Schizosaccharomyces pombe: one gene and its partner. The protein of the gene in region 1 interacts with the protein of each later gene in a biochemical or structural test. Each region holds a gene or a part of one and is shown on either strand. Other genes may lie near its edges.

Region 1 (3,015 bases):
AGTGTTACTTATGGTCATTATCTTTGCTATAGACTTCAAGATGACATTTGGTGGAAGGCTAATGATTCTTTAATTACTAAATCATCTCTCAATGAAGCTCTCAGTCAAACTCGTTCAGCTTGTCTTTTGTTTTACGAAATGGAATCTCCTCTTGCGCTTGATTAGCGCATATATGCTAGTTAATCGTATACGTTTTTGTACCTTAATAAAAAATTCTTGATATTTCTCCTAATGATTCCGACTGATGTCACCCTTTATAAACTGTTGAAAGCTTCAAATTATAACCTGTTGTTTTGTAGCTAAAGCATTCAATACTAATATTTTGCAAAACTTGTGTATGAAAATATATGTATGTATGTATCCACCGTATCTGTCCATAAAATCGGTTTTCTTGACTTTAAGATTTTCAAGTGGACGATTTTTTATAGGCATGGTTAAAGTACACATGGCACTTTCAAACCGTCGCCAAATGACTTATAATTTACTAAAAAAAATTTTAGATATACTCATCATGTACAATTCACAGTTTTTAATGCATCAAATATCCAAAATGTTATTATTGTCATGGGTTATCCATTTAACCCCAGGACCTTCTAATTTCTCGAATTAAGCATAAGGACCTGCATATTACACCATTTTTAAGCCATTTCTCAAATTTTAAAAGTTATAATTCCGTTTTTCTCTTTTCATAGTCTGAAAACTCTAAAACTTAGCGTGCTTCGAACTGAACCATTCTCTTGGTTCTCATTTTGTACATAACACGATGCCCACACTCTCGACAACGAATAACTTCTTTCGCTTGGATTGTATTACGCGCTCCGCAATCTGATGGTCAGTCTTTTATCATATACTCATTTAATTCTACTCAATGATCATACCCGCACATAAATAAATCATAGTGGCTGGTCTGGGGGGATTGAAAGCGGTACCGCCAGTGGAGGTTGGATGATTCATTTTGTAAACTTTTTTAGTGTATTTGAGTCTAGTTAAATCCTGTGATTTTACTTCCTCACTTGAACTTTCTAATTGTGGTGGTGAGTAGTAGCGCGCAAATTTTTACTACCATACTATTCTCAATATTAACGCTTCAAAAAAAATTGGGAAGCTAATCTTATAATACATTAATGAGTTAAAAGTTCTCATTTAAAGTACTTCAAGTACATTTCCATTTATTGGATATATAAACTTCAAATATAATTTCGTATCTAATTTTGACGTTCTTTTAAATTTAACCTTTATTAAATCTAGCAAAAGAATAAAGGGCTGGATACATAATTTTAAATTTAAATCGATAAATAACTAGATTGTTTAATTTATATTTCATAACAATTATGTGTACGTGTGAGGATAAATACAATAGCTCAAAAATAATGTATTCCCCGAGTTCTCCAATTTTTAGTGTATAAATATACGATTTCTTTGTCTTGAAATTAGTCCTGGTAATTAGTTATATAAAGCATTCAGAAACACTGTATGCATTAAAGGGTAATTCCAATTGAAATAAGTGCCTTTTTTTGCAGAACTTTTATCGAGTAATATTAATTTTCCTTTCATTTTAAAAAAATAGTTTTGACTTCTAACCGCTTTTAGAAATTTAGAGGTTCCAGTAATAGAGAAATCAAGTATGAAACAACTTTAACGTTTATACTATTTCCTAATAAGCGATACATACATTTTTCGGTTACATTAGACTTTGACCATTCGAGGCTTTCCGGGAATCCCATTAACCTGGCGACTTCTCTGGCGGTAAAATACCGAAGTTGTAAAGCCATCCGGTTCCTCTCAAATTGCTCGTGCGTATTTTCATGATCTGACATCTGCAAAATTGAGCCTGCACCTTGTACTAAATGTGTATATCCCCGTGTAAAGCAACAGCAGGAAGAGCTATCTGGCTTAACTATATCAAACTGATGGCCCCATTTATTTAACACAGACTCTAGTACCATATATGAAGACCAATCTCTTTCTATCTCCAAATAATCTCTTATTCTTTTTACTTCGCCTTCTTTTTGCGCTACCTCGCTAAATTGAAAAACATCATCAATACTCCATTCTCCTTTGAAATTGAGCCTAGCCAATCCATACCATCTACTGCGAGAATTAGGAATGTTGAACTGGTTTGGACTCAAAATACCTTCAATTAGGTTGTAACCACAATTCCTCAAAACTTTCCTGCACTCTTCAGCTGCCTTGCTCTCCTCAAAACCCTGAACATTCTCAATTAGAATGTACTCAGGCAAATTATTTACATGAGGAAGCACATTTAAAATATTTAGAAATGCTTGGGAACGAGGATCAAGAATATCTTTACGGTTTCCTATTCTAGTAAAAGGTTGACAACTGGGACTCATAGTCCATAATTTACAGTCAAATGCATCAAAATCCTTGGCCGTTAAAGTTGAAATATCCATCTATAAGTATTAATATAGTTATCGAGTAAATCCTTGAAACATACGTGTTTAGCAAGTTTTCCATGATTGAGGTTATAAATTTCATTTGCCTGTGGGTTGATATCTATTGCACACACAATATCAGCCGGTATATTTGCCAGGTTCAATGCATAGTGCATACCTCCAATACCAGAATATAGCTCCAGGACCCGTAATCTTTTTGTACTAAGCATTGAATGTAACCGAGCATGCAACACTCGGTAATCGTTTAGTGAGGGTTACAAAAGACCTACCTGCATTAGATTTTTTGCTTGGATTTGTTAAGCTTGAAAAGTCATGAGCATTTCGGGCCTTTTCAAAAACGATAAAATGTTTTTTAGTATTAAAAGTAATTAATATACAACATGATGACTTAAACAAAACTGTACGTCTTTTTGAAGCTAACTAAATGAGATCTTTTAAAAGTTTGTCCATTATTGTGAAACATAAATTCATTATGATTATATACAACCAAATCGCCTTTAAAACTAATTTTCCTTTTCCACTCTTTTACCGCTTATGTCGTTTTTGCGTCTTTTGCAATTCTTCTATATTTTCTGGCTTGAAATAATGGGGGCTTATTTCC
Region 2 (4,704 bases), on another chromosome or scaffold:
TGACCCTACAAGGTTACGATGGATTGATAATTCGATTTCTGGTCAAGAAGCGGAAGATCCCTTTAGCGGGTTTGATGATCTTGAGGATACAGACTCCACCTCGCAGTACTTGAACGAAAATTCAGGTAGCTTTAATGGTAGCATAAACTCAATAATCAATTTTCCAGATATGAGTGAAATATACGATGTCGGCCCAGAGTTTGAAAAAAAGCAATTTAGCGAAGATATTCAATGGCGAAAGAGAATTGATGGCTGGTTTTTTTCATTTAAAAACGATGACAGGTCACGACTATGGGAGCTTTATAATATACTTAATGCCGAACAATAAACAAGGTTTTGTCTTTACCTTGCGAATGTTTATATATAATTATACGAATGCTTTTGTTTATCGCAGATTTGATCTTTTTGTACATAGCTTAATACACTTCGAAGATTTTTCATTTTGTTTGCAAATAGATGTATAAGATGTACAACAATGATACAAATGTAATACTAATGTGACACCCAGACAAACTAGATTGTTTGAACAAGACAATACAAAGAAAATAATCAATTAAATTTGGACCGAATACATTATACCCTTAAATACCGTCTGTAATATAGAAACCATTTTTGCCATCATTATAATACTTGTAAGCGTCTTTTAACACATTATTGGGGTTGCCAAGGAGGTTGTGAGACATACCCAGAAGAGTAATTAGGATCCATATATGGATAGCCGGGATTATATGGGTTGGTAGGGGGAGGAACGGTACTAGGATTACCATGCCAGTCATTTCCTGAATCAAAATGCCTTTCACCATGGTGAATGGGTGGACCTCCCCTATATGGTTTACGACCCCGGAATCGCTCATCACGACGCATAGCAAAATCTTTTCCTCTTTTACTAATTGCCTTAGAACTTATTCCTAATCCAATTTCAATATCAGGTTCATCCAAAGCGATACCAGGAGTAATCGGAAGGCCACCCGTGCCGCCATATTCTGCAGTTACAAGCCAGGTACGATCGGCATCCGTCAACAAACGGATTGGGATAACGCTGATTCCTGTGGAAAAGTCAGAGCACTCTCGAGGTCCAAATCCTACACCCCATTTAGTACGAATAGTAGTATCAGCAAAAGGGACATTTTCCATCGCTACTTGAGCTTTCTCTGCAGCATCACGACGAAACATTTTCAAGAACCCGTGTCTGTAATTATGATTTAAAATTAAACTTTGTACAGACCCAAATCGTTCAAACATAGATCGAAGAACAGGTTCTCGCACAGAACGAGTAATACCACCAAGGAAAAGAGTACGGCTGTATACCTTAATAGAATCAGGTGGAATGGTTGGGTCACGCTCAAATCGGCGAGGAAATCCATCAGGGGTAGGTTTTGGCACACCATCTGCAGGAGGCAAAGTAGAAGGAATGGATAAATGAGAAGGACTAGGGCTACGACGAGGGCGACCACTACGAGGACTAGGGCTACGAGAACGATGTAAGGAGCCGAGTCTTAAGGATTGGGAAGAGGTAGGAGCTGGCAAAGGAACACTGCCGACACCAGCCGGCTGGAATGGAGCGTTATAGTTGGGAAAAGCAGCTTTCATGATGCTATCGATTTGTGCAGGTGGTACATTCTGAGAAGCCAATACATTCATGAGAGTGATCTGTTGACTCTGGGTATCATTGACCGATCCTGTCTTCATCCCCATGGGACCAGAGGGAATAGACTGTGGTACATTTGAAGGTTGGAATAGAGGGTTTGATAATGGATTGCCTGACTGAGACTGTGCATTAATGGCGGTAGCTGGATGAACAGGTAGGTTAGGGACGACAGCAGAAACGGATGGTGCGACGGCAGGCTGCGGTGGAGTGCTAACTGATTCTTCGGCAGCACTAGGGACGGGCGCCTTTTGAGCGAAAGCAGCCAATGCCTCTAGAATAGAAGCAGCATCGTTTTCGACAGGACGAGAAGTGGGGGCGGCTGCTTGACTACCAACAGAACCACCATTCCCCTCGGGATTAGTAGACTGTGATGGAGCAGCAGCAGAATCTACACTAACCGGTTCCGTACTTGCCATTGCATCTTTCAGCTTTGAACGAAGCGATTCTAGCTTCTCGGGAGGAAATGTTGAAGCCTTCTCCCAAATATCACAAAGCTTTAATATTTTAGGCTACATGCTTAGTTAGTTACAAATTAGTCCAATAATGTTAAAAGACTTCTCAAAGAGAATGATACTGTATTACAAGGAAAAAATACCTCTCTCATACAGTGTCTCGCTGATACAGAAGCAGAGAGAGCATACGATTATCCATACGGGATCTTATCCGTAGTCAACCTTGAAAAACTTCAGCTACACATACCAAATGAGCAGATGGCGCATGCTGTATAGCATCTGCGACCAAACTATCAGTTATTTCAGCAGCTTTGCACCAGCCGCCACTAAAAGACGCATCAACGGGATTTTCAAAAGATTCATTATTCTTTTTAGCACCGTCCTGAAAGCTACGAACGATTGAGTCTAGAATATACAAAGCTCCTAATTTATGGGTGACGGGAGCACGCTTCGCATACTTATACACACTAGCAACAAATTGCGCATTCTCTGAAACATTTTCCATCGACAAGTTAGTCAATTTCAAAATTTTTGATCCCGAGATTCCTGTCTTGGAATGTTCAAGGGAATCTAAAATACCATCGAATTCAGCGATTCCCGACATATCACAAGAAAAACGACAATGAAAAAAAAAAAAAACTTTTCAAAACTAGAAAACTACCCTGTTTCCTTTATAAGAATTTTACTACTTTTTTTCTTATATTAGTTTTTTACACGTGCTTGAAAGACGTTAAAAAAGGAAGTCACCCTGTTCTTAAATACTTTTTGTGTTATGGTTACGGTTAAGTGGTGAAGTAGGTGATGCTGGTTATAAAGCTGGTATTACGGAAGGGTAAGGAAAGTGCTTAAAGAGATGCTAAAAATTTCCAAAGTTTCACACTTTGTAAAAAAAAATATATATCATATTGTTTTAAAAAATGTATGAAAATTTTTAGTGTAAAAAAAAATAATAATAATGAGTAGCGTTTTTGTTAATTTCATGCCCATGATCCTTCTGGTAACAAGTTTGTCAGCCTCGACCACAAAATTGGGACTGCGAAGTAATCTCAGGGTTCGGGTTTATTTATGAGATTTACTATATATACAGGTACTCGTGCATTTGGTTCGGTATTCTCTCTTTGCCTTTTGGCTTAGATCAAGTGTAGTATCTGTTCTTTTCAGTTTAATCGCTGAAATCACCTCACTGAGGTGTTTCCGATTAATCTTGTTTTTGGTTTGAGTTGGAAAGCCTCTGGCTTGCTATGCTTTCCGACACTGGTGTTCTTGCTATTGCACTACTGGCAAGCGACGCCGAATCTTCTTCTGTTGACAGATTTGTGACGCATGAATTTGACAACATTGGATGGTTTAGGATGTGAGGTTTGAAAATATTTAACTTCGTACATTGATAGTGTGTGGTGAAGATAATATTGTTATCGTTGAAAGTAAGCAGTTTATTTAAATTTTTTCAGTTGCTAAACCCACTGAAAGAGAGGTTGAAGACTTGCTGATGCTATGCGTATTGAACTTTTAACACAGTGGGAAAGGTAATTAAATAATTTTATCTTTAAAATTCAGTAAGTAGTTATTAGTGGTTGGGGGTTTTGAGAATAAAAGTGAGGTAAGTAGTTAATGCTGTAAGCAATTGTGAACTGTAGAGTTGTGTTGACATTAGCATTTTTTTTCATTAATGCTTGATGATATCCTAATTTGTGGATAATATAGAAAGCATTTGACTGTTTTATGGTAGTCTAGATAGTCAATTTTTAGTGAAATGACTGAAGTCAAAGCATGTGATATACTGTATCGCATTTGATTTTGTAAACTGAGTCTAGCAATGTGCAAGGTCTCCTTTGTTATGCTTATGAAGATGGGTGTACCAAATGATATTGCTTATTAAGGAGCGTAATCATTTGCGATATGATTCAAGGTTGCTCCACCAATTCTATCTTTATTGCCATCTTTGATTCTGGCGATAATTTTTCGCTTCCACATTGCCAGACTTATATAATGACCCCCGGTATGTCTGATTGGGTTATTATCCTATAGCCACCACCGCCTTAATGAACTGAGACACATTGTATACTACTTAAAGTGGATCTCTTAGTTACGTTTGATTTAATTTTTTTAAGGTATAAACATAGACAACACAATCCTTTAATACCCATCTTCAACGGTTTGAGTGATTCATTGCTGATTAGTAAGGGGTGTATCAATCTTCATCAGCATCTACTTGTTCAATAGGTTTCAGGATATCTTTCGTTTGTTTTTCTTAGTTCTTTCAAACTTTCTTTGTTTTTTTATTCGTTTCTAGTCGATTAAAAACTTTAAAAAAATGTCTTCTGCATCCATGTTCGGGAGTCTTAAAACCAATGCTGTGGACGAATCCCAGTTGAAGGCTAGAATTGGAGTTTTAGCTCTCCAAGGAGCATTTATTGAACACATTAATATAATGAATTCCATTGATGGAGTAATTTCTTTTCCTGTTAAAACTGCTAAGGATTGCGAAAATATTGATGGCTTAATTATCCCAGGAGGTGAGTCTACTACCATTGGCAAATTAATCAACATTGATGAGAAGCTTCGTGATCGTTTGGAGCACTTGGTTGATCAAGGACTTCCTAT

Evidence for each region. Proteins that work in one complex are often made in the same cells at the same time.
Region 2: the proteins of rpc10 (region 1) and seb1 form a complex in vitro, tested with the Schizosaccharomyces pombe proteins (one study listed by BioGRID).

The regions. Positions count from the first base shown.
Region 1 is NC_003423.3:1,673,674-1,676,688, reverse strand, and holds rpc10 (DNA-directed RNA polymerase subunit Rpc10), read right to left. Parts: upstream 1,051-3,015; 5' UTR 955-1,050; coding exon 879-954; exon of another isoform or gene 826-878; coding exon 710-825; 3' UTR 501-709; downstream 1-500. Other genes in the region: ubiquitin hydrolase Ubp11, read left to right, coding at 1-165; pmt1 (DNA methyltransferase), read right to left, coding at 1,587-2,411, 2,456-2,623; ATP-dependent RNA helicase Cdc28, read right to left, coding at 2,940-3,015. UniProt on the Schizosaccharomyces pombe protein: DNA-dependent RNA polymerase catalyzes the transcription of DNA into RNA using the four ribonucleoside triphosphates as substrates.
Region 2 is NC_003424.3:958,061-962,764, reverse strand, and holds seb1 (poly(A)site selection protein Seb1), read right to left. Parts: upstream 2,881-4,704; 5' UTR 2,705-2,880; coding exon 2,348-2,704; intron 2,158-2,347; coding exon 652-2,157; 3' UTR 538-651; downstream 1-537. Other genes in the region: two-component GAP Byr4, read left to right, coding at 1-328; sno1 (glutamine aminotransferase subunit), read left to right, coding at 4,415-4,704. UniProt on the Schizosaccharomyces pombe protein: Involved in the processing of pol II transcripts.